Caenorhabditis elegans: one gene and its partners. The protein of the gene in region 4 purifies or fractionates together with the protein of the main gene of each other region. This does not show direct contact. Each region holds a gene or a part of one and is shown on either strand. Other genes may lie near its edges.

What was found.
Region 1: the proteins of prx-12 (region 4) and F08F3.4 fractionate together in Caenorhabditis elegans (co-fractionation; one large-scale study listed by BioGRID). This does not show direct contact.
Region 2: the proteins of prx-12 (region 4) and scl-2 fractionate together in Caenorhabditis elegans (co-fractionation; one large-scale study listed by BioGRID). This does not show direct contact.
Region 3: the proteins of prx-12 (region 4) and acox-3 fractionate together in Caenorhabditis elegans (co-fractionation; one large-scale study listed by BioGRID). This does not show direct contact.

What each region holds. Positions count from the first base shown.
Region 1 is NC_003283.11:5,408,894-5,414,260, forward strand, and holds F08F3.4 (L-threonine 3-dehydrogenase, mitochondrial), read left to right. Parts: upstream 1-2,061; 5' UTR 2,062-2,220; coding exon 2,221-2,464; intron 2,465-2,522; coding exon 2,523-2,700; intron 2,701-2,749; coding exon 2,750-2,982; intron 2,983-3,546; coding exon 3,547-3,816; intron 3,817-3,898; coding exon 3,899-4,050; 3' UTR 4,051-4,108; downstream 4,109-5,367. Other genes in the region: C25A6.1 (Serine/threonine-protein phosphatase), read left to right, coding at 342-470, 541-616, 663-736, 782-922, 973-1,050, 1,098-1,178; F08F3.10 (uncharacterized protein), read left to right, coding at 4,518-4,527, 4,731-4,816, 4,865-4,990.
Region 2 is NC_003282.8:13,055,447-13,060,075, reverse strand, and holds scl-2 (SCP domain-containing protein), read right to left. Parts: upstream 2,367-4,629; 5' UTR 2,355-2,366; coding exon 2,181-2,354; intron 2,130-2,180; coding exon 1,992-2,129; intron 1,822-1,991; coding exon 1,610-1,821; intron 1,178-1,609; coding exon 1,078-1,177; 3' UTR 1,014-1,077; downstream 1-1,013. Other genes in the region: scl-3 (SCP domain-containing protein), read right to left, coding at 218-354, 406-448; scl-1 (SCP domain-containing protein), read right to left, coding at 2,815-2,914, 2,970-3,187, 3,235-3,372, 3,518-3,685.
Region 3 is NC_003282.8:6,244,363-6,250,786, forward strand, and holds acox-3 (Acyl-coenzyme A oxidase acox-3), read right to left. Parts: upstream 4,131-6,424; 5' UTR 4,118-4,130; coding exon 4,019-4,117; intron 3,975-4,018; coding exon 3,843-3,974; intron 3,797-3,842; coding exon 3,629-3,796; intron 3,469-3,628; coding exon 3,327-3,468; intron 3,275-3,326; coding exon 2,953-3,274; intron 2,792-2,952; exon of another isoform or gene 2,771-2,791; intron 2,642-2,770; exon of another isoform or gene 2,620-2,641; intron 2,476-2,619; coding exon 2,375-2,475; intron 2,328-2,374; coding exon 2,231-2,327; intron 2,183-2,230; coding exon 2,009-2,182; intron 1,907-2,008; coding exon 1,792-1,906; intron 1,742-1,791; coding exon 1,200-1,741; intron 1,149-1,199; coding exon 1,037-1,148; 3' UTR 996-1,036; downstream 1-995. UniProt on the Caenorhabditis elegans protein: Involved in the first step of peroxisomal beta-oxidation by catalyzing the desaturation of fatty acid-derived side chains of ascaroside pheromones, which regulates development and behavior.
Region 4 is NC_003284.9:11,390,699-11,395,484, forward strand, and holds prx-12 (Peroxisome assembly protein 12), read left to right. Parts: upstream 1-2,594; 5' UTR 2,595-2,602; coding exon 2,603-2,743; intron 2,744-2,792; coding exon 2,793-2,901; intron 2,902-2,948; coding exon 2,949-3,142; intron 3,143-3,186; coding exon 3,187-3,401; intron 3,402-3,446; coding exon 3,447-3,764; intron 3,765-3,812; coding exon 3,813-3,870; 3' UTR 3,871-3,921; downstream 3,922-4,786. Other genes in the region: prmn-1 (PRoMiNin (5-transmembrane domain glycoprotein) homolog), read left to right, coding at 1-164, 212-382, 432-628, 675-840, 892-981, 1,031-1,140, 1,254-1,328, 1,658-1,709; slo-2 (RCK N-terminal domain-containing protein), read right to left, coding at 4,001-4,148, 4,211-4,298, 4,569-4,692, 4,748-4,786. UniProt on the Caenorhabditis elegans protein: Component of a retrotranslocation channel required for peroxisome organization by mediating export of the PEX5/prx-5 receptor from peroxisomes to the cytosol, thereby promoting PEX5/prx-5 recycling.

The DNA of each region.
Region 1 (5,367 bases), on a different chromosome or scaffold from region 4:
ATTGTGACGCGCCAGAATTAATCATTGACACAAAGAATGCCAAAACAGGGGATTTTTGCAGAGACCGCTTAGATTTTCCAAAATAAGCGTACACATGTGATAAATAAATGTGTTTTCAAAAAGAAACATATTTATTGTCCATCACATATTGCTCTGCAAAAAAGTGCGCATCTCTCAAGTATCAAAGTGACAGAAAGTTGATGCTGCTCCGATGAGCTGTCAAATTTGAAAAATGACGTCAACTGGAGTGATGGATCTTTTGGACGTTTATTTCTCTCTCCCGATCTTCCAAATCCCATGGCGTGAACTTCTTTGAAACATTTTTCAAGTCATGATTCCAGGTGAAATTCCCGGGCAATTTATTCTTGTTGCGTGGAAACCATGAGTGCGAGTTTGTCAACAAGGTATATGGATTCTATGAAGAGTGTCAGAAACGCTATCAAAGTGTTCGCATGTTCACGGCTTTCCAGGTAAATTTGATTTTTTACCAAAATTGAACAATAAGGTGCAATATTAATACAGGAAAAACGGTACTTTCAGGACGTATTCAATTGGCTTCCACTCTGCGGACTCATTGCTAATAAGATCTTGTGCATGCACGGAGGACTATCGCCTAGTATGTCAAAGGATTTCACTTTGGACAACCTGAGAAAAATTAATAGGCCATGACGGCAAGGAGAGACTGGTAGCTGATCTTTTGTGGGCCGATCCTATTAGTGGTCTTTCTGGGTTTATGGTAACTTTCTGATAAGAAAAGATCGATTTCATCAACTTTATTCAGGAAAACAACCGAGGTGCCGGGTGTGGATTCGGAAGAGATGCTGTTCTGAAAGTGTGCTCCGATTTTAAGCTTGACCTGATCTGTCGTGCCCATCAAGTTGTTCAAGACGGTTATGAGTTCTTTGCTGGTCGGAAATTGGTGGTATGAGTAAAAAAAAAGTGCCGAGAGAAAGGAACATTAAAAATTTTTAGACAATCTTCTCGGCTCCTCATTACTGTGGTCAATTCGACAACTGTGCTGCCTTCATGTCTTGCGACGAGAAGCTTCAGGTAAAAATTTTTAATTGAAATGTTGTAATAAATGTGCATTCTTACAGTGCTCGTTCGAAATTCTCCGTCCAACGAGTGGCCGCCTTGAAGTTCGCGAGAAACCATTGCTCAAGGATGAAACAAACTGATGGATGGCTGATTCATAATTTCCTTCAATAAATGAATAGACAAATAAATGTGGTTTTGATATTATTTGTAAAATAATAATTTAATGTTTAAAAGTAATATTTGAAATTTGGCCAACAACCTGCCCAGCCAGCTTGACAAACAACGACACCTTTCCGGTAGAAATTTTCACCAACTTCCCGTCTTTTTTGAGAGAAATATTGCAGTGGAGATCTTAACAGTGGTGATCCCAACAGTTATCCCAAAACTAGAATACCACAACACTTTAAATTTTTAACTGATTTTTCAATCTTACCAGTCTATGTTTTGATCTTTTTATCCAAAAAATTGAATTTATTAATATTTTGAGAGACCTCAATTAGTTATATTGGCTTCAGATCCTACATTTTTCAATCATCGTGACTAGCTGAAATTTCTAATTCGGATAGTCCAGCCAAGGCAAGACGGGTGTCATATGTTAGACTTTTAATCATACAGTCACGCTTGTTATTATATCATCCCACGTGGCATCTAGTCAGTCACACTACTATTAGTCACTCTACTTACTCTTATAATTTTTTCAAAAAAGCCTACGAAAATCTTTAAAATCTGAACAATCTGAGTACATCCGTACCAAAACTGTATCCCAAAGTAACTTTTTAACGAAACACGTGTTTGTCTCTAGGTATGCGTTGGGAACAAAAAAGGTACATACTTATCTTTGATTCGTCTCTCTAGCAATTGGGGGGGGGGGGGGGACAGGCCTTCAGCAGGCAGCATCCGTCAAATTGCGTGATAATTGAATTAGACAATGACCACGTGTGGGAAGAGGACAAATGAGTGTATGTCTTCGTCGTCGTCGTCATCAAGTTATAAGATCAACCCTCCACCCATTTCGTTGAAATCAGAAGGCGTCGATGTCTAAGTCTCTGATCAGGCGACCTCACTGGTTCCTCTTTTAAGAAAATTCCCACATAACTACACTTGATTTGATTACTCATTTTTCTAACTGTTAACTTTTTTGATTATCAACTGTTCTTCGTCTGCTTCCGTGTCACACAAAAAATGAAAAACTTGCGAGTTTTTGGAAGAATTCACAATGCCAGAAGAAACTATTCACCTTTACCAGTTGATCCTTTATTACGGTTTAAAACAATCAGTCAAACACAAAAAGCTCCTCGAGTTTTAATCACTGGATCTCTTGGGCAGCTTGGAAGAGGTTTAAATTCAGTCTACAAGTACATGTATGGATCTGAATGCGTTGTTATGAGTGATATTGTTCGTCTTCCTGCAAATGCTACAGATGTTTGTAAGTTGAAACTGCTTTCCATATTTTCAACAGAAAATTAATTTATTGTGTATTTTAGCCGACTACAATTACCTGGATATTTTGAATCAAGGATCTATTGAAGAAATCGTTGTTAACAAAAACATCGACACAATTGTTCATTTCTCTGCACTTCTATCAGCTGTTGGAGAAACAAATGTTCCGTTGGCTCTGCAAGTGAATTGTAGAGGAGTTGAGAACATTTTGCAAGTTGCTGCGTAAGTTCCTACTTGTATTGGACTATATCTTGACATTGTATTGTTTCAGAAAACATAAGCTAAAAGTGTTCATTCCATCCACAATTGGAGCTTTTGGACCAACAACTCCAAGAGAAAACACTCCAGATCTTACAGTACAATGTCCTACAACCATTTATGGAGTCAGTAAAGTATATGCAGAACGTCTCGGAGAATATTTCAATCATCGGTTTGGGGTTGATTTCAGAAGCATGAGATTCCCGGGTATTATCTCAGCGACAAAGCCAGGTGGTGGAACTACTGGTGAGTAAAATTATATAATAATTAAACGAGAATTTGAAACTTTTTTCCTTTAAAGATGAAGTACGGTCAATTCTAAAATGACCAAATATTATAATAAAACTTAGAGAAAAAAATTTGAAAAGGTGAAATCTCAGTTTTCACCTATCTTTTGCAAGTCGTCGATTAAAAAATCAGAAAAAAATTTCTTACAGCTGTTTGATTATGTTGAAAATGTTCATAGTTCAACATTGGGATTTGAACATGCAACAATGTTTTAGATTTTTTTTTTTTGAAAAATGGCAAAACTCAGTAATTGCCACTTTCTGACTGGCAATAAAAATTTTCCAAAAACTTTTGGAAAAGTTTTACTATGAAATTTGGTCCTTTTAGCCCTATATGAATGGTTTCGAATTACTTCCCAACTAATTTTTGATACGACCTTTTCAATTAGAAAGGTTTTGTAACACGATTAGAGATAATTTCCTTGCAGACAAACGGTATCAAAAAGTGGTCAAAGTTGATCAGTTGATACATTTTTGAAAAGAATATTTCTCACGTACACAGTCAAAACTATCCTCCTTTCAGACTACGCAATCCAAATTTTCTACGACGCTCTTCAAAAAGGCAAGCACACCTGCTACCTTCGACCAGACACACGTCTTCCAATGATGTACGACACTGATTGTATGGCTTCAGTCATTCAACTTTTGGCTGCTGACAGTCAATCATTGAAGAGGCGAACATACAATGTAACGGGATTCTCATTCACACCAGAGGAAATTGCTGATGCAATTCGAAGAGTGATGCCAGGTTTCGAGATTGATTACGATATCTGTCCAACAAGGCAGTCTATTGGTAGGTGATATATGATCATTTTTGCAAGTGGACTTGCAAAAAGAAATACCTCTTTTAAAAAAACTAAAATAATTTTTTTCAGCCGATTCATGGCCTATGTCATTGGATGACAGTGAAGCACGTAAGGATTGGGGATGGAATCCAGAATATGGTCTCGATGAAACTGTTCAAGTGATGTTCGCATTGCTGCGAAGAGAAGAAGACAAACCTACAAAGATTGTCAGTACTGCATAAAAACTGGTTATTTAGGCATTAATAAATCATTTGATCTACTTGTTGCAAAAATAAAAGTGATAGAGAGAAAAGTTTACACTTGGAACGGATAGAAAGTATCAATGGGTGCAAAATGGGTGTATGACACAAAAGCAAGTGGTCATTTGAACAGCATTTCAGTTAACTGTGGGGTTATGAGAAGAATTAGAGTGCAATTCATGAACACGGTTGTATTTTTGTCAGCAATTTAAAAATTGACACTTGATTATTCAGAAACATCAGTTGAGATGAAAGAATATGCGAAAATCGAATAAAATTTATTAGATGTTAGTGATACATAAGGTTGAGAATTAGAGTGAGAAACAACAATGTGATTGAAATGAAATGATGGTGTAACAGTTGTCAACTGAGCTCAACATTCTCTGCTCCACTCTTCGTTTTGTTTCTGCTTTGAAGGTTGTAGCTGGGAATCATAATTTACAACAAAAATGATTTCAGGTAAGTTTCACACATATATTTTATATATCAAAATATAAAAATGTTTTTTTATTTCTAAAAAGCAAATAATTTAGTCTAAATTTAAAATTCTTGGGTTCTTACTTTTAAAACGTTTTTTACAAACCAAACCAATTAGAGCAACTAATTGAGACATATTTTCATACACAATTTCCATAATTTACGTTCAAAATTTTTGTTTTCAGGAAATCCATATTTAAACATTCAAGGTCCTTTTGGAAACTTTTCAGAAAATGAAAAAAAGCAGACTTGTTTTAGGCTCCGTATTCAGGTTTGGCTTGCAATTTATTTTTTTGCTTCAGAAAATTTAATTTTTCAGACCTGGGTTTACATACATTGTGGGATCAGTATTGCTACCTCAATAATTGGAATCACGCTTGGAGTATTACTTTTGGTCAAAACAGAATGGCATGAGAAATTGTTTATTTATAAATTGACGTTTGCAGTAAGTTTTTTTTCAAATATTTAACTTCAAAAGTGGAGAAAAGCAATTCGGTATTCTGATTTAAACCATAGAAAATGGACCGTAATGGGCAAATACAATTGCCAAAAAATTGAATAAATAATTTTCCAAAAATGTTTTTATGATTTTTCAATTTTTAAAAAATAAAAAGGGCTAAAAAAGGAAAAACGTTTTCTGGCTTAACTAAATGGATTTTCGCTAAAATTCGAGCACAATCCATGTAAAATCTGTTTGAAACCAAAAATTGGATGTGGGCCGTATTTGTAAATTTTTTATGTGAAGCAGTTTTCGAGCATTTAAAAAATTTAACAAAAACCAGTGCATTTTTGTCCAAAAGCAGAAAATGCTTTCATGAACTT
Region 2 (4,629 bases), on a different chromosome or scaffold from region 4:
AGTGAGTAGTAGGCGATAGTAGGCGAGGTCTAAGAAGTCTACGCCAGCTCTACATCAGACCCTTTAATTAACTCCAGATCAAGTGCTCCCAGATCTGTAGAGAAGCCGACTGAAACTTTAGAAAATGCTCTGAAGAGCACTTGAACCTAGCAAAGACCTTCAACTGAAGGTTCCATTCATTGGAAAATCACAAAGTAACTAACTGCCGAAAACCTACCATTTTCAAAAGATTACTACCAGCTGCTTTTGTTGTCCCTTTAGCCACATATGTTCCCTTGGCAATTGAAGTACGAAGCTTATTATGAAGGTCCACAATGAATTGTTGAGTGCTTTCTCTGAATTGAGCATAAGCTCCTGAAAAATTGAAGAAAATTAGTTTCAAAAATTTCCAAAAAAAAAACTTACCAATCTGAAGGGTAACCAAAACGAGAAGAGTAAAGGTGTGCATGTTGTCTGTTGAAAATACAACTAGTAGGTTGGATATTTATAGGAGATTTTAGTTTGTATGAACAACTGGATGTCGTCGTCGCCGTGAGGGAAACTAAAAGTCATGGGAAGAGGGAAAAAACTAAAGAACGTGTGCTTTAATAGAAATAGACTAAATTGGTAAGAGTTTTATGTTGACATTGTTTGTTTTATATACAAAAGGGAGGCTGAAGTTGGATTTCATTTTTTGAAATTTCACACAGTAGATAGTAACAATACAGACATACGGTAATTTTTTGAAATTCATGGAAGTCAGAAACGGAAAAATAAAAACGTTTTCAAGCTGTTAACTTTCAACTAAATCACCAACATCTTTGAAAATACATACAAGATATCGTAGTCAAAAAACCTATAGCTTGAACTTTTTTCATAACTTAGATACATCTCTAGACACAAGTAGTCTTTGACCTCCCAATAAAGTTCTAACTGCTCATTATACTCCAAATCTGCCAATAGGATTTCGAACACGTAATCGTCGCATTTGTTACATAGGCATTTTGATCAAAGGTTGTTTGTGTTCTGGTTTTCAACTAGCACACAATTTTATTTATTATCTACAGAAAGTTTGAAAACACATTGCATTATTAAAGTTTAGACGCAGAGCCCTGTGGAAGTCTCACATGACGTTCCTGATGGACAGCCGGAACAGGTTGCTCCCGATACGTAGATGTATTGATTAATGAAGTTTCCTCTGAAAATTGATGTATTAGCAAACAGTAGCTTGTATTCAACAGGGCTCTCTCGCACATACACTTTTCAATTTTTTTTTATGTTAAAAATTTTGTCTCGGTTGAAATTAATTTTCCTAAAACTACTTTTTACTCTTCAGAAAAATCCTAACTCACAAAGTGTTCAAGACTACTTTACCAGTTGTCGAAGCACAGTTCACTTTTCGCCAACAACAATATTTTTCGTATTTTTGTATAATTTTTATTGGGTTTTTTGTTTTTAATGATCTCCTCAAAATGATCAAAATTTGTTGAAAATTGCCTAATTTTTTGGATTTTGTTTCAGGGAACGTGACCAAAAATTTATCTTTTTTGCAAACCTATCCTAGAGAACAACACAAAACACAACATTCGCAGACACAGTCAACATAGACTAGTCAACAAATCTCACTTACTGCGGCTTGTACTGGCACACGACGGTTACTTTGTTCAGGCCGTTTGAGTCTCTTCCACAATCCTTGACTCCACATCCGATCAGGTTGGATTTCGCCCACGCCATTTGAGTCGCGTGTCCGATTCCTGTGTTGAAGAGATCGATAGTCATAAGGTTAGACTTCCATCCGTAATCTTGGAATTCTTTTTCCCATGATGCCGACGCAGCAGATCCCTGAATGAAAAGATTGATTATAGAAATTTCAGAAACTTTTAAAATAAAGAAGGTATCAAGCGCCTGCCTCCTGCCTACTGCCAATATTCGCATGTTGTATTTAGGCAAAATTTGAACAAAATAGGCAGTAGGTCTAGGCAGGCAGGCACAAGGTAGACTAAATGACTGACATATTGATTGAGGTCTCCCAGAGATCCACTTGTCCAATACCAATACAAATTCTCCCCAAGGCCTGCATCTCCAGAGTGTCCCGTCGGACACCCGTTTGCGTAGTTTTGGGCGGATGCGGCGACTGCGGAATCCCATTTCTGAAAAGTTGAAATCAAAAATAAATCTGAGAACCTTAGTTATGTACATACCATTTTCAACAGATTTGTTCCCGGCGATTTCTGAGTTCCTTTTGCCACGTAGGTACCTTTTGCAATTTTAGACCGCAGAGTGTTATGTGCATTGATAATTCCGTTTTGTCCGGAAGAGCCGAAATCAGCGGAGCAGCCAACAGCAAGCGCCACAACCAGCAACAAGTAATTCATAATTGGAGAAAAAAGTGCAAGTCAACACGAATATGTTTATCACTGCGGTTCATTTTATAGGAGTCTTATCACGCGAAAACCTGTAAAATTGTATGATAATTGAGAAATCGTAAGCTACGTATGATCGGAAGTGGGCAGCACAAGACCAAAGAATTGACTTTTATCAGTAATTATGAACATTTGAGTCAAGTCAACAAGTATTCTGATTAGGAAGAAGTGAATTTTCTTCCTAATTTTGTTGTTGGCACATAGGCAAGTAGAATGTTTTACTTTTGCCTGCACTTGATGTTGTGTGCATTTTCGTAAATTTTAAAAAAGTTTGGTGTAATTTAAAGTTTTCGCTTTATTTTTTTTATATAATCACCAAGAAAAAACAAATGCTTCATTAGTAAATTAATTCCCAGATTAAAACAAAACAAATAAATTAAAAAATTACAGACACAAAAAGTGAAATCTCTCATTATCCGCAAAGCCCAGAAGCAGTGTCACATTTAGTAGATCCGGAACAGCTGGAACACGTAGTTCCTTCCTTATAAATCGGCCGTCCCATAGTGTTTCCTCTGAATATTTTTGAACAATTTTGAGTTAAAAAAAATCAAAAACTTCAGTGCTTACGGTGGACTATACTGGCAGACTACAGCTATTTTGTTCATATTTCTCATCGATGCGTCTCGTCCACAATTCTTGACTCCACACCCGATGGAGCTGGTGTTTGCCCAAGCCATTTGAGTAGCGTGTCCTATTCCACTGTTGAATAGGGTGGTATCCATTGCGTTAGACTTCCAGCCAAAGTCTTGGAATTCCTTTTCCCATGCGGCAGCGGCGATTTCTCCCTGGAAAGAATTATTGATTTCTGTCCCAGAAAAGTTATGCGACTCACATAGGAATCCAAGGATCCAACATCCGCAGAAGTCCAAGACCAATACAAATTTTCCCCATATCCAGTTCCCTTTGAGTGTCCAGTTGGGCACGTATTCGCATAATTCTGAGCCGACGCAGCTACGGTGGAATCCACGACCTGAAAAGTTTATTGAAGTATCATCATTGGGCTTTTTGTTCAAATATGATTGCCAAAAGTTACCCCAACTTGAATGACTTGAAACTCTTGAAAAAAGAAAACTTTAAGTTTTTTATTTGACATAATTGGGCAATTTAAAACCTACCATTTTCCTCATATCAGTTGCTGGTTCTTTTTTGGTTCCCTTCGCAACATAGGTACTCTTTGCAATAGCGGATCTCAATTTGTTATGAGCATCCACAATGCTTGATTGACCAGTTGAAGTGAATTGAGCATTGACACCAATTGCTAGGAGGCAGAGAATGAAGTACATGGCAAACAAAATTATGATTTAAAGTTGCAAACGTGCTGCTTTTTATGAGAGGAGTTTTTTAATCAAGTACGAGATTTTCAAATAACTTTTAATATTTGCAAAACGTAAACAACAACAATCTTTATTTTTGTCCATTGTAGAGAAAACTCATAAATGATCCAAACGATTTGGTCAATAACAACAACAAATTGAGCTTTTTACGGATATCAAAAAGATCAGCCGGACTGAAAATATTATGCTATCGGGCTTCAAACCCACACACTTTTCGACTCGGCAAATTTGGTAAATTTGCCGCCCACCCCTGGTTTGTACTCGAATAATTACTAGAGAATCAAGCAAAAAACTGGAACAAAACTTTATTAACAAAACTTTATACTTTGACAAAAAATATAGTAAGTACTGATTTCCTCATTAATATTAATAATTATAATAAACTAAATCGTAATTTATCTGTAATTTTAAATTTAACTTATTCAATATTCGCCGACTGGATTCTTACTTCAATCCAGGATTTACACTTGAGGACTTCAAATTGATGAAGTGTGAAGAACTGACAATATGGAACCATAGCTTTACTCCAGAATACTTGAATCATTTTATCCGTAATTGATTAAACGGAAACATGAAAGAATTGAGAAGATTCCACTTGGACCATGATTTCAAAATAAGAGATTGGGTAGTGGTGTTGAATGAAATAGTAGTTAGTCGATGGGACGAAGTACGCCGAGAAAAAGTATACAGGTATTAGTGGTAAAAAGGAAAAATGATTGTTCTTTGGCAAAAAAATTATTTATTTATTTATTTATTTCAAACAATGTGTAGGTCTGGCAACAAGTGAATAAATTTCTAATTTACTTAAAAATCTGTAGGGATGCTAAACTGACATAGGAAATACGGTATCAATTTCCAATTTCAGAATCGGTTTTCAAGAATTTGATTGTTCC
Region 3 (6,424 bases), on a different chromosome or scaffold from region 4:
ATTATTGTTTGAAATTTGATAAAAATTTGTGTTATTCTATTTTTAAAATCTCGAAACAAAAAATTTTCAAAGCATTTTGCACCTACAAATTAAAAAAAACTTTTTACCGTTTCCCATTGATGGTATAACACTTTTTTGAAATCACGCAACATTGGTATACGGAGCTTCAGTTGTGTTCGAGCTTTTACAGCCTTTCTGAGCCTTTGTAGAGTTTCCTGAAGTTATTCGCACGCAATACAAAGTTGACATTGGAGAATCAGACGGACGAGTTCTGAAAAACTTTAAGTTTTGAAAATTGTATTTTTGAAATTATTTGTCATCGTGCGAAGAATTTCAAACGGAAGACCTTTTTGATGCACAACCCTTTCAAGCCAATTAGCAAATTAATGAGAGTTGATAAATTTATAAATTCTCCAGATATGTGAAATGGATTCTTTATCACGTGGAGAATAGAAATTAAAAATAAAAGTCGTGAGCGAGTTAATCTTTGTATTCATCGACTTCGCGACAACATTGATACAATAATATTGTGAGAACAGTTTTTAAAGTAAAATTAGAAATTGGCGTGGAAATAAATTAAATTTTGGTGTTATTTCATATAAATATTATTTTATAAATACATTGTGAAAGTTCTACAATGATTTTTGGCACTTAATAAATAGTTTTAAACATTTTCCCCGTGGGCGCTATCACTATTTTAAATTTTCCCCGTTTCACATTAATCATATAAATTCATTTAAACTAACGCAACATTATCGTTTTGGTTCTAAATGAGAAACTATTTTCCAGTGTTAGAAGCCTTTTAAGCATTTCCTGACATCCGGGTACCAAAGTTTTAATAAATTTTTTCAATTAAACATTTAAAAAATTTTGCCGTTTCACGTCGACGATATGTATAAATCTGAAAACTTTGCTTATACGTTTAGATTTTTATTTTTTGCAAAAATTTTAGCTTTCAAAGAAATTTGAAATTGTTTGTATATTTTGAATTTATTCAAAAACTGGATTTATTGGGAAATATACAGTTTGTGAAATATTATAGCTTGGATCCTTGTGATCTCTTTTGCAAAAACTGAGCCAAATCGCAAACCCATCTTGGTTGTTCATTTGTATACTTCCGGAATTCTTCCATTATATGCTCGTACGCTCTGAAAATCAAATTTAAAGTTCAGCAGAAACCTTTACATTTTAAAACTGACTTTCCATCAGATGCTCCCAGAGCTGAATGTAAAATGAAATCATCTGGAGCAATCGAGTCCACTAAAGCAATGGCCTCGGGTTTTAATTCGGCTACAGCGAGTCTAAGCTTCTCTCGAAGATCTTCTCCAAACTTTCCACCAGAAGCATATCCAGTAATATAAAGAGTTGCAAGATGTCTTTCCAAAAGGAAAAGTGAGAAAAGATTCAAAACTTTTTGAAGAACCGGCTTCACACTTTGATCTTCAATTTCTTTCAAGAACTGTTGAACCCAATGGATCATTGTATGTTCTGTGTATGCAACAGACAAATTGACAGCTCTATGAATTTGAATTTCATTTCGAACTTCGAATGAATTCTTTCCAGATGCTTTTAGTCTGTAAGCTTCTGCCGAAGTTGTTTGAAGTAAGTGATAAGTGAGATATCGGTACGCAGACAACACGTCATTAACTGGATTCGAAGACCATGATGAGAACTTTGAAGGTTTTTGATTCAAGAATGACATAGTAGACATCGGGGTCTCAATGGATCCAATTGATTGAGCCTGAACATCAGAATCTCAATATGATTAAAGAATCTGACAATTAAGTTTACTTTTCCTAGCAAAATATTGCTGGTTTGTTGCAAAATCATAAAGTTTTCTCCTTCAAATGTTTGTGATGGATCGTTGTCATCTCGGAGGGTGTTCAATCGTGACATTTGTAGGTATCTGTAATTTAAATTTTAACTTTAATCTGGAAAAAATAGAAAGACGAATTCTCAAAAAATGAGTTTCTTAAAGTTAAGTTTCAGGTTATGTTAGGAAACATACCCATGACCTCCACAAGCTTTTCTAGCTTCTCCAAGGGATTCTACACCAAGCCACGTTGCAACCGGTTTAGCTCCAGACGACAATGCATGTACTTCTTTTGAGAACTCGGAGAGCTCGTCTGACTTTTCTCCCATTATGACTCTCATCATATATTCAGTGAAATGTCCGACAAACCTATAAAGTTTAACTAATTATTGAAAACAATTTGTTTAGAGTTCCCACTTCTTCTGGAATATTCTAATGCAAATTGCAGCGGATAGGTACGGGAATAGACGATACTGTTGAAGTGGATACTCGAGAACTGGGATCTCATTTTCAGCTGAATTATACAAAAGTTGAGAAATTGAGAAAAGGAATGGTGCTCACCGCCTTTTACTGGTCCAAACTGTCGCCGAGCAACACTGTATCGAATAGCAATTGTAGATGCAAAAGTGCAAGCCATCATTCCTTTTGCGATAATTCCGAGTCTGAAATTTGTGTTATTGTGAAACCATTGTTGGTAAAGTTTGAATTTTGAAACAGTATTTTGTTTGAAAAAAATCAATCGGAAAAACTTATAGATTGCACTGTTTTCCCAACTTTATGAATTCGTCTGCTTTTACAATTTCGAATTGTCCTAAGAATGCCATTTCCATTATTTCTATTTGTATTAAATACAATGGCTTCACTCTAGAAAATCAATTCATATTTTAAAAGTATCGATTAAAGCTGGAATAGATTCGTTTTGAGATTTTGCTTTTATTGATAATAAGGCTCGGCCGTGAAATTTGCATCTTGTATCTACTAAAACTGAGAAAAAAACAACACATTTAAAAAGTTGGTAAAACAGCGGCTAGAAATTCTTCAGAACCTGATTTTTTTAACAGAAATTCTTTTAGATACAAATTTCACTCAATTAAAAAATTTTTCTATACGGCCGGCGTCGTAAAGTATTGAAAACATACCTTCCAACTGACAATGTTCCCAAACTGACACTCTGCTTCTCACTTGCAGATTTGAAACTTGTCACATATTTTCCATCCGGAGTAATATCACAACCCTTATTCAAAAGTGCACTCAGAGGAGCTCTATGGTTCTTAAACTCCATCCAGCCATTTTCTACTCCCTGCCAGCATCCTGGTTTCGAGCCCATGTCTCCAATGGTAATTCCTGGTAGAGTTTGGAAAGTTCTAGGGCAACGAACTTGAATCACAAATCCATGAAATCCCTCGTTCTTTCCTTCGACATGAAGTTGAGCATAAACAACTACGTGAGTGGCCGAGTGAGCTAAAAAAATGGATTTTTTTAAATTTAAAATTAAAAATGTTTTAAAACCCACCGAGATTTCCAGCCCAACATTTGATTGCACTGACACTTGGAGTATTGAAAACAAGTTCTCCATTGTCAAATGTAGCTGTTGTTTGAATTTCAGCAGTGTTTGAACCATGGCCTACTTCTGTCAGACAAAATGCTCCGACGATCTGAAATTTGCTATTTTGCAAGGAAACCTAAACTTTCCAGATTTGAATACAATGCGCTTTTGTTTAAATTTCTTTAGAATAAATTATTTTCAAATTTGTTTTGATTTTTCTTTTTCTTGAGTACTTCTTAATTTTGTATGCTATTTTCTTTGAAATTCACCTCATTGTTTTCAGTTTTCTGAATCAAATCCTTATGTCTATCTGTTCCCATTGACTTAACAGCTGCTCCAAAAACATTTCCGTGGAGGAAAAGCCTTGCAGATGTGCCTTGATCATAAGCTTCAAGAGTTTCAGTCAATGCATGGAAGTTTTCAAGATCGGAGTACGGCTGAATATTCGAATATATTGAAAATCTACAATTTAATAAGAAATACATCTTTGAACAACCCCCATTCGACAATTTTCTTCCATCTCTGATGAACAACTTCTCTTTGCTCTTCTCTACTCAATACTCGATAATCTCTGTGAAATACTGGTTCTGACTTCATTTTAGCAACTACTTCTGACTGAAATATATATAAATATTTTATAAATCCAAAATCTACTATACCTTCAGTCTAACATGTTCTTCTCCTTCAACGGCTGCTTTCAATTTTTTCCAGTCGAAAGTTGCCATTTTCCGGTATTTGTCAATTAAAGGAGCACTCATTTTTGATCTGAAACTGAAAAATTTACTAAATAAATCCTTTAAATTCAAAAGATTCATTTTATTTTCAGCAGAATATATGTTAAAATAAACTGAACAAAATTAAGACAAAAGCAATTGCATATGTACTGGGTAGGAAGAGTGTAGTCTTATCAAAAACAAAGAAAATAGAAAGTAATTGAGAGACGCAGAGATCGAAGACAGTCTGACTACAGCGTGGTGGTATTGTATAAATAGGGGGAGGAATGGTCTTTTAAAATTATCGTAGTAGATTGTAATTAGCTGGTGTTTGTAAAAAGGGTCAGAGGAAATTAACTGAAATTTTACAGAAAATTCATGTTTCCTTGTTTTAAAGTGGGCTCGGAGAGAGAATGTGGACAAGTAAATAGTTTAAAACAACGTAGTGGATAATAAAAAATTTAGTATTATTTCCATAAGTGTAAAACATGTTTTTAAATAAAAATACGCTAAAAAATTTCTAAATACAGTTTTGGCGAAAGTGGGGGTAACACATTTCCAGGAGCGTACTGGTCAAAATAAAAATTAAATTAAATTAAAATTAAATTAAAAATTATTAGCACTTTAACTTCAATATTTCATACTTTTACAATATTTTCCAACATTTTTGCAGTTTAGACTTTGATGTAAACATTTTTAGCGGTTTCATAGTTTTCCCGAAATCAATTTTGGCTGAACTACCAAAACTTGAAATTACTGATAATAATAATAGGTTTGCTCTGACTTGAGCAATTATATTAGGTGTCCGATAAAACCTACTCATCAATTTTGTGGAATTTGGAAAAAAATGTGATTGCCAACTTTGTGATTTTGTTGAAAACCTCAATAGAGAGTTTGCTTTTTCTTCGAATTACTAGATGCGTTTCACTATTTTATAAGTTAAAATAAGTGGAACCACAAAGTTCAGGCAATATTTTTCTATCATTACTAACATTAACAAGAAGAGATTAGTTTAATTCATGATCAAGACTGTTTTTACGAGATCTTTTTTTCAGCTGAAGTTTCAATATCAAAACAGAGAAAATGCCTCTGTTCATATAGTATTCGTGAAACAGCATAATAATTTTTTTGTTTAATTTAAATTTGAACACAAGAGTTGGCCAATTGAAGCATGATTGAAATACAATTAAAACTATTTATTTTCCATCTTTTTTCATAATTTCATAATCTTATTTCCCTCTTCTCAAACAAGTCTTTCGTTTCATGATCTTGGCATAAAGAAGAGCTTGAAAACATTTCTAATCCTTTTTTCCTTTTTTGCTAATCTCTCAAAACCTCCTACATTTCAATAATCTCTAGCTCTAACGTCACACATTCTGAGCTTTTGAGAGAGTCAGAGAAGCCACAAACCCGCCCATTTTCTGAAGAAGAAATCACTCATTCTGCCTTCTTCGACTGCTTGGTGGCGGTCCTATCTTCTTTTATGCAATATATCATACTATGTTATTTTTCTGTTATTTTATTGCTTAAACATCAAGCAATTAGAGTAAGTTAGTAGTATAGTGGGAATAGTTGTGCAAAAGACTTAAAGTTGCGCATTTTTGCAAATTTCTCGGTTGGTCCCCCGTTTTAGAATAATTGAGGAATTTCACTGAAAACCGTGTGTGCCTATTAATTATTGCTTCATGTGTGCCAATGTTGCGAATAAGTTTCTGGCATTAATTAGTGTATAAAACGTTGAAATGTGTGGATCGTAAAGTTGTGCATTGAAAACGGGGATCCGAGTTGTGACCGGAAAACTAGTCGATCTGAAATTTCACACTACACATTAATTCACAATTAGCTTTTCACAACTCGTCAAACTATGCGTACAAGAGCTATTTTGAACACGTTTTAATGTACGGGAAGGAAATTCAAAACTCCACTCTAACCGCGGCCGGTTTCTATCATGACCCTGTGATTGGCGACCACCGTAGTCCTGGGTTTCAACAGCGTTGTGCCTCAATTTACAACCAGGACGAAATACAAGTTGCGGCAAACATTTCGATTGACTTGATGAATCAGCCGCGAGTGCTCTTGAACGGTTGTAATGTGAAACTTACAGTTTACCCAAATGATAGTAAATTTTTGATTGAGGTTTACAATCGCGACAACAACACAGAGTTTCAGTTCAAAATAACCGACGTTTACGCTCTGGTTAACGAATTCGATCTTGCCGACGGTCTATCTAATGCTCTAGAGAGCTCCATTATTGAGCACAAAATAATCCAATATCCTCTAATATCTTCACAGGTGCGCAGTTTCTATATAGAGTCTGGACGTCTTGACGCGCCGGCTAACACACTCTTCACA
Region 4 (4,786 bases):
ATAGATATATCAATCTTTGGAAAGCAAATCACACACCTGAAAATGATATCGAGGTTACTCTTCAGTCGAAATCGCCGGCAGAAATTATTAGAGCGTGTTCAAGAAACGAGACGCTGTACAACTTTTATGGATTTGACAAAAAGTATCATTTGAACAAACTACAGGTACTAACAAAACTTATACATAGATATGTTAAATATAAATTTTGCAGGATTTTGAAAAAGATGCATACAACCAACTGCAAATTTCCTTGCGAACAACTATGGAAAATATGCCGGAAATTCGTCCGCTTGATGCATTCATTTCAAGAAGCGAACTTCGAGATTTGGAGAAACTCGCCTCAGTGAATGTTTCAAAAGTTAGCCAACAAGGCCTGAATGCGGTTTGTAGATTGGAAACATAATTGAGCAATTTTTAACTTTGAGTTTCAGATAAAGCATGCAATGGATGAACTCGACTTAGCATCCAAAACGCGGGAATTCGAGGAATCTCTAGACGCAAATTCGGGTCGTCCTAAGGCAGTGACTCTTGTTCTTGAACAAATCAGAGAGTTAGAGATTCAATTTGCGAAACCATTAAGGAGCAGATTAGAGGCATTGTACTCTAACATTACTTCACTCGATGAAAAGTGAAAATTCTTTAAATGTTGAATTCCTATAAAATACTTATTCCAGACTTTCTCAGCTTCAAGTTCCTGTTTCTTCTCTTCTTGTAAAGCTTCAGCATGCTCAGGCTTTACTGGCTGAAAACATGAGAGAGCATTTCGGTCGTGCAGCTAAAGAAGAATTCCAACAAATGGTTAACAACATCGACCAGTACATAGTTCATGTCAAAAGCCAGGTAATAACGCAAAAGTGTTTCAAAAAATTCTATAATTGCTTGACTTTTCAGATGGAGAGCGAGGTCACGTCATGTCAACCGTTGACACAAATTGCCCGGCAAACAACTGCTGCTGTTTGTGCTTACACAATTGATCCATATGTAAAAATGACACAAAAATTGGGGAACTGTTTTCAATTTATAATTTCAGAACGGGACATGGATGTGTATGCTGATCTGCCTAGTTCTGTTGATACCAATTGTGATAATTTCAAACTCATTAATAGGTTTATACTCTAAGATGCACGCGTTCCCAAAATAGTAAGTTTCACAATTTTATTTAAAGAAAAGTGTCACAATAACTTTAGCTTAGCCATTTTTTCGAAAAATAACCCTTAACTTTGCAATTTTGAATATAATTTTATATATTTCAGCATTGTGGAACCACCATCTGAAACACATCACATGTCATCGTTCATTACCGATACATATGACACTAGGCCTAAGCCGTAAGTTAGCATATTAATATCAATTGGAATATTTTTTGAAACTACACATTTTGAAATGATCTTTCAAATACTCGGTATCAGAAATAAAACGAGTTCAGTTTGAAACACAAAAACCAACAATAAAGATCAAAAAGTTGATGTAGCAAATTACCAACAAATACTGTTTTAGAAAAATTTTGCATTATTACAAATGCGACAAAAATGTTTAATGTTTGCCAGAACCCAAAAAATATTAAATAATGAAAAAGTAACAGCCCTGCTATTGAAATCTGGATATGAAAAATGTTCTAAATATAAATTCAAATGTTTCAAAAAACTATTTTTTTCAGTGGATACGCAAACTACACCTACACAGATGATTATCAACGTAATTATCGATGAAGAGCCTCAGAAAATGTATTATCACAATTGCGCCTACTTAATTAAAAAATGCATGTATTTATGTCGACAATTCAGTTGAAATTTTCTTTCATTTCATTTGATCGCACCTAGAATCTACGAGTATCATTTTCCCATTATTCATTTCTCCCAGTCCCATGTTCTTTTTCTTAAAATCTACTCAAGTGAACCGCTCAATTCTACGCACACAGTTTTTCTATTCAGTGCCATTTTTGCATTTCCGTTTTTTCCTCAAATTCGATCTTCAGTTGTTTGACTTTTTTTCAGTTTCCGTAACTTTTACTGATAGAATTATCATTTATGTGATGATTCCCCAATTGCGGTTCGTATTTGAATAAAAACATTAAACCACCCTCCACGTTGGTTCAGTTCTTCCAAAAGCGGATTGAAGTTGATAAGAGTTAAGATAAGAACAAATGTTGCGTGCAAACAATTCGTGATTTATTGTTTTTATATTTAAAATAATGTATATAGTTGTCCACGTTTTGGTGTCTCTTTAAAAAAATCATAAAGAACTAGCACGCACCGTAAAACTCACTACAAATAATTGAAAATCCCATTTATTTATTATTCATGCATTTATTAAAGAGTCGTTATTTTCATTGTATTTTGCATCAATAGATCTACAGTTAAGAAAAGCAAAGGTTACATTGTTGCAATTCTAACCCTCCACATTTCAATTACTATCTAATCGTGATAAGACAAGGACACACTACGTCGTAGTATGATACGGACAGTGTCCTCGCTCCTCCGGCAATCGATGGTCGTGTTCAATCATTTTCATATCTCTCCTTTTTTTTGGTTTTATTTGTAAATTTTAATGAGTATAATCTCAACAATTTCCTCTTATTTTTAACTGAAAAATTTAGGAAATAATGAGTACGACTATTCGTGCCTCGCAGCTGGCTTCGTCAATTTCTCCAAAAACTGAAGAAAAGCAGCCATCGGTTTTTGATATAATCGCTCAAGAAAATCTTGCAACATCAATCAGACCGGCTTTACAGCATCTTGTAAAAGTATGTTAAGAATAAAAGTGAAACGAATATTTGAAATTGAACATTTCAGTATCTAGCATTCTTCAAGCCAAAAACATTTCTTTCGGTTCACCGAAACTTTGATGAATACTACATCATATTCGATCTCATTTTGCAAAACCACTATTTGAGAAACTATGGTACGTTTTTTAATTCCAATTTTTCACCTAAAGATAATGTGTTTCAGGAGCGTCGTTCACGGAAAACTTTTATTCTATGAAGCGAATAGCATCAGGCACAGGAAATCCACCGAACGATGGTAGGGAAAGAATAATGTCGCTTATTACATTAGTCGGATGGCCTTATGTAGAGAATAAATTGAATCAGCTTTATGACAGGCTCAAGGAAGTTTACGAATGCAGAAGCTGGTCATCAATTAATGTATGTATAGACAAATAAATTTGAAATATCGTTTATAATTCCAGGGCATGAAAGCAAAGTGTCAAAAAATGTTTGTGATCATTTGGCCATACATCAAGACAGCTCTTAAGGCAGTGAAAAGTGCTCTACAACTTGCATACATTTTGAACCGCAGCTCCATTCACTCGCCATGGCTTTACTTCTCAGGCGTGATTCTGAAACATCTTACGCCAGAAGACTTGGAAGCTTTCAATGCTGTTCCTCTTCATCTCCAAACTGGGTATCAAATTTCTAGAGGAACATTAAACGAACATATTCATTTAAGATTCTTCAATCGCATCTGGAGATTTATTTTGGGACTACCTGGAATCGTTTCAAGGCTCTTTGCTTATGGGCTCTTCTTTGTACAGTTTTTGGATTATATGTACAACACAGATTTGGCAAAACTTACAAAGACTGGCCTTGACGGAGCTATTCCTTCACCTCCACACAAAATGATCATATCTGAATCGGAAATTTTGAGTTTGGACACCAATAAATGCCCAATTTGTTTGAAGAAAAGAGTTAATGATACTGCGCTTTTTGTATCTGGATATGTATTCTGCTACACATGTATCAACCAATACGTAAACACTTATAACAAGTGAGTTTTCTTTATTTTAAACTATCAATTATTTGAGAAAAATTTCAGATGTCCAGTGACAGGATGCCCGGCAAACGTTCAGCATTTAATCCGTTTGTTTGTATAGCGCTACAAATTTAATTTTGAATCATGTTACGACAAATAAAATTACAAAAATATTCATTTTTAAAACACGAGCAAATATTCCAGCAAATTCAACTTTTCGTTGTGTTGGGCATTGTACAAAAAACGCAAGTTTACAAATTATTCTCATCAATGACAATTGTTGGGACTTGATTTGTTGAATCGATGGTTTCACTAACATTTTTACTGCGTCTTAGACCCCTTCTTGGGTTAATTCTTGCGTTGGTTGCATCTTTCCGGATTGGACTTCTGATTACGTAGCTGAAAGTTCATTTATGAGTTCTTGATCAAAAATTCATCTGAAATAGAATTTAAAATCGTACACAATATCTCCGGACTCTAGTTCCAAATCTTGAGCAGGATTGATGATGACATATGAGATTTGCGACTTTTCATCGCTTCCTTCGAGCACTGAAATTTAAAATACAGTTCACCACGTCTAACCGCACCAAGAAAAATGATCACACTGAAGCAATTAGAATTAAACTTAAAGAATCTTCAACCTTATTATGAAATGAAATAAAAGTAAATAGTAAGTATTAAAGTAAGTTTTCTAATTTTATTTTGTCTGCTGGTTCACACCACTCTTCGGCTTATACCTGTTGATCTGCACCGGCTAGCATATTTCCAATTGACTAGAAAGGGTTTAAAAATAGAAAACTAATTCCGAATAAAACTTACAAGTATGAGTGTCTTTTATATTAAGAAGTCTCATTCGATTTTTCACATGATCATACATATCTTTGTTTCTTCCCATTTCAGTGTTTTCAAAATCTTTGCATTGTTCTTGAAGATCAAGGGATACCTGAAAATATTAAAAAAAAAAACAATTAGTCGATACTGAGCAGATTTGTGTTTACCGTCTTAGTGTCCATCTTTTTGGTTCTGAAAATACCGAT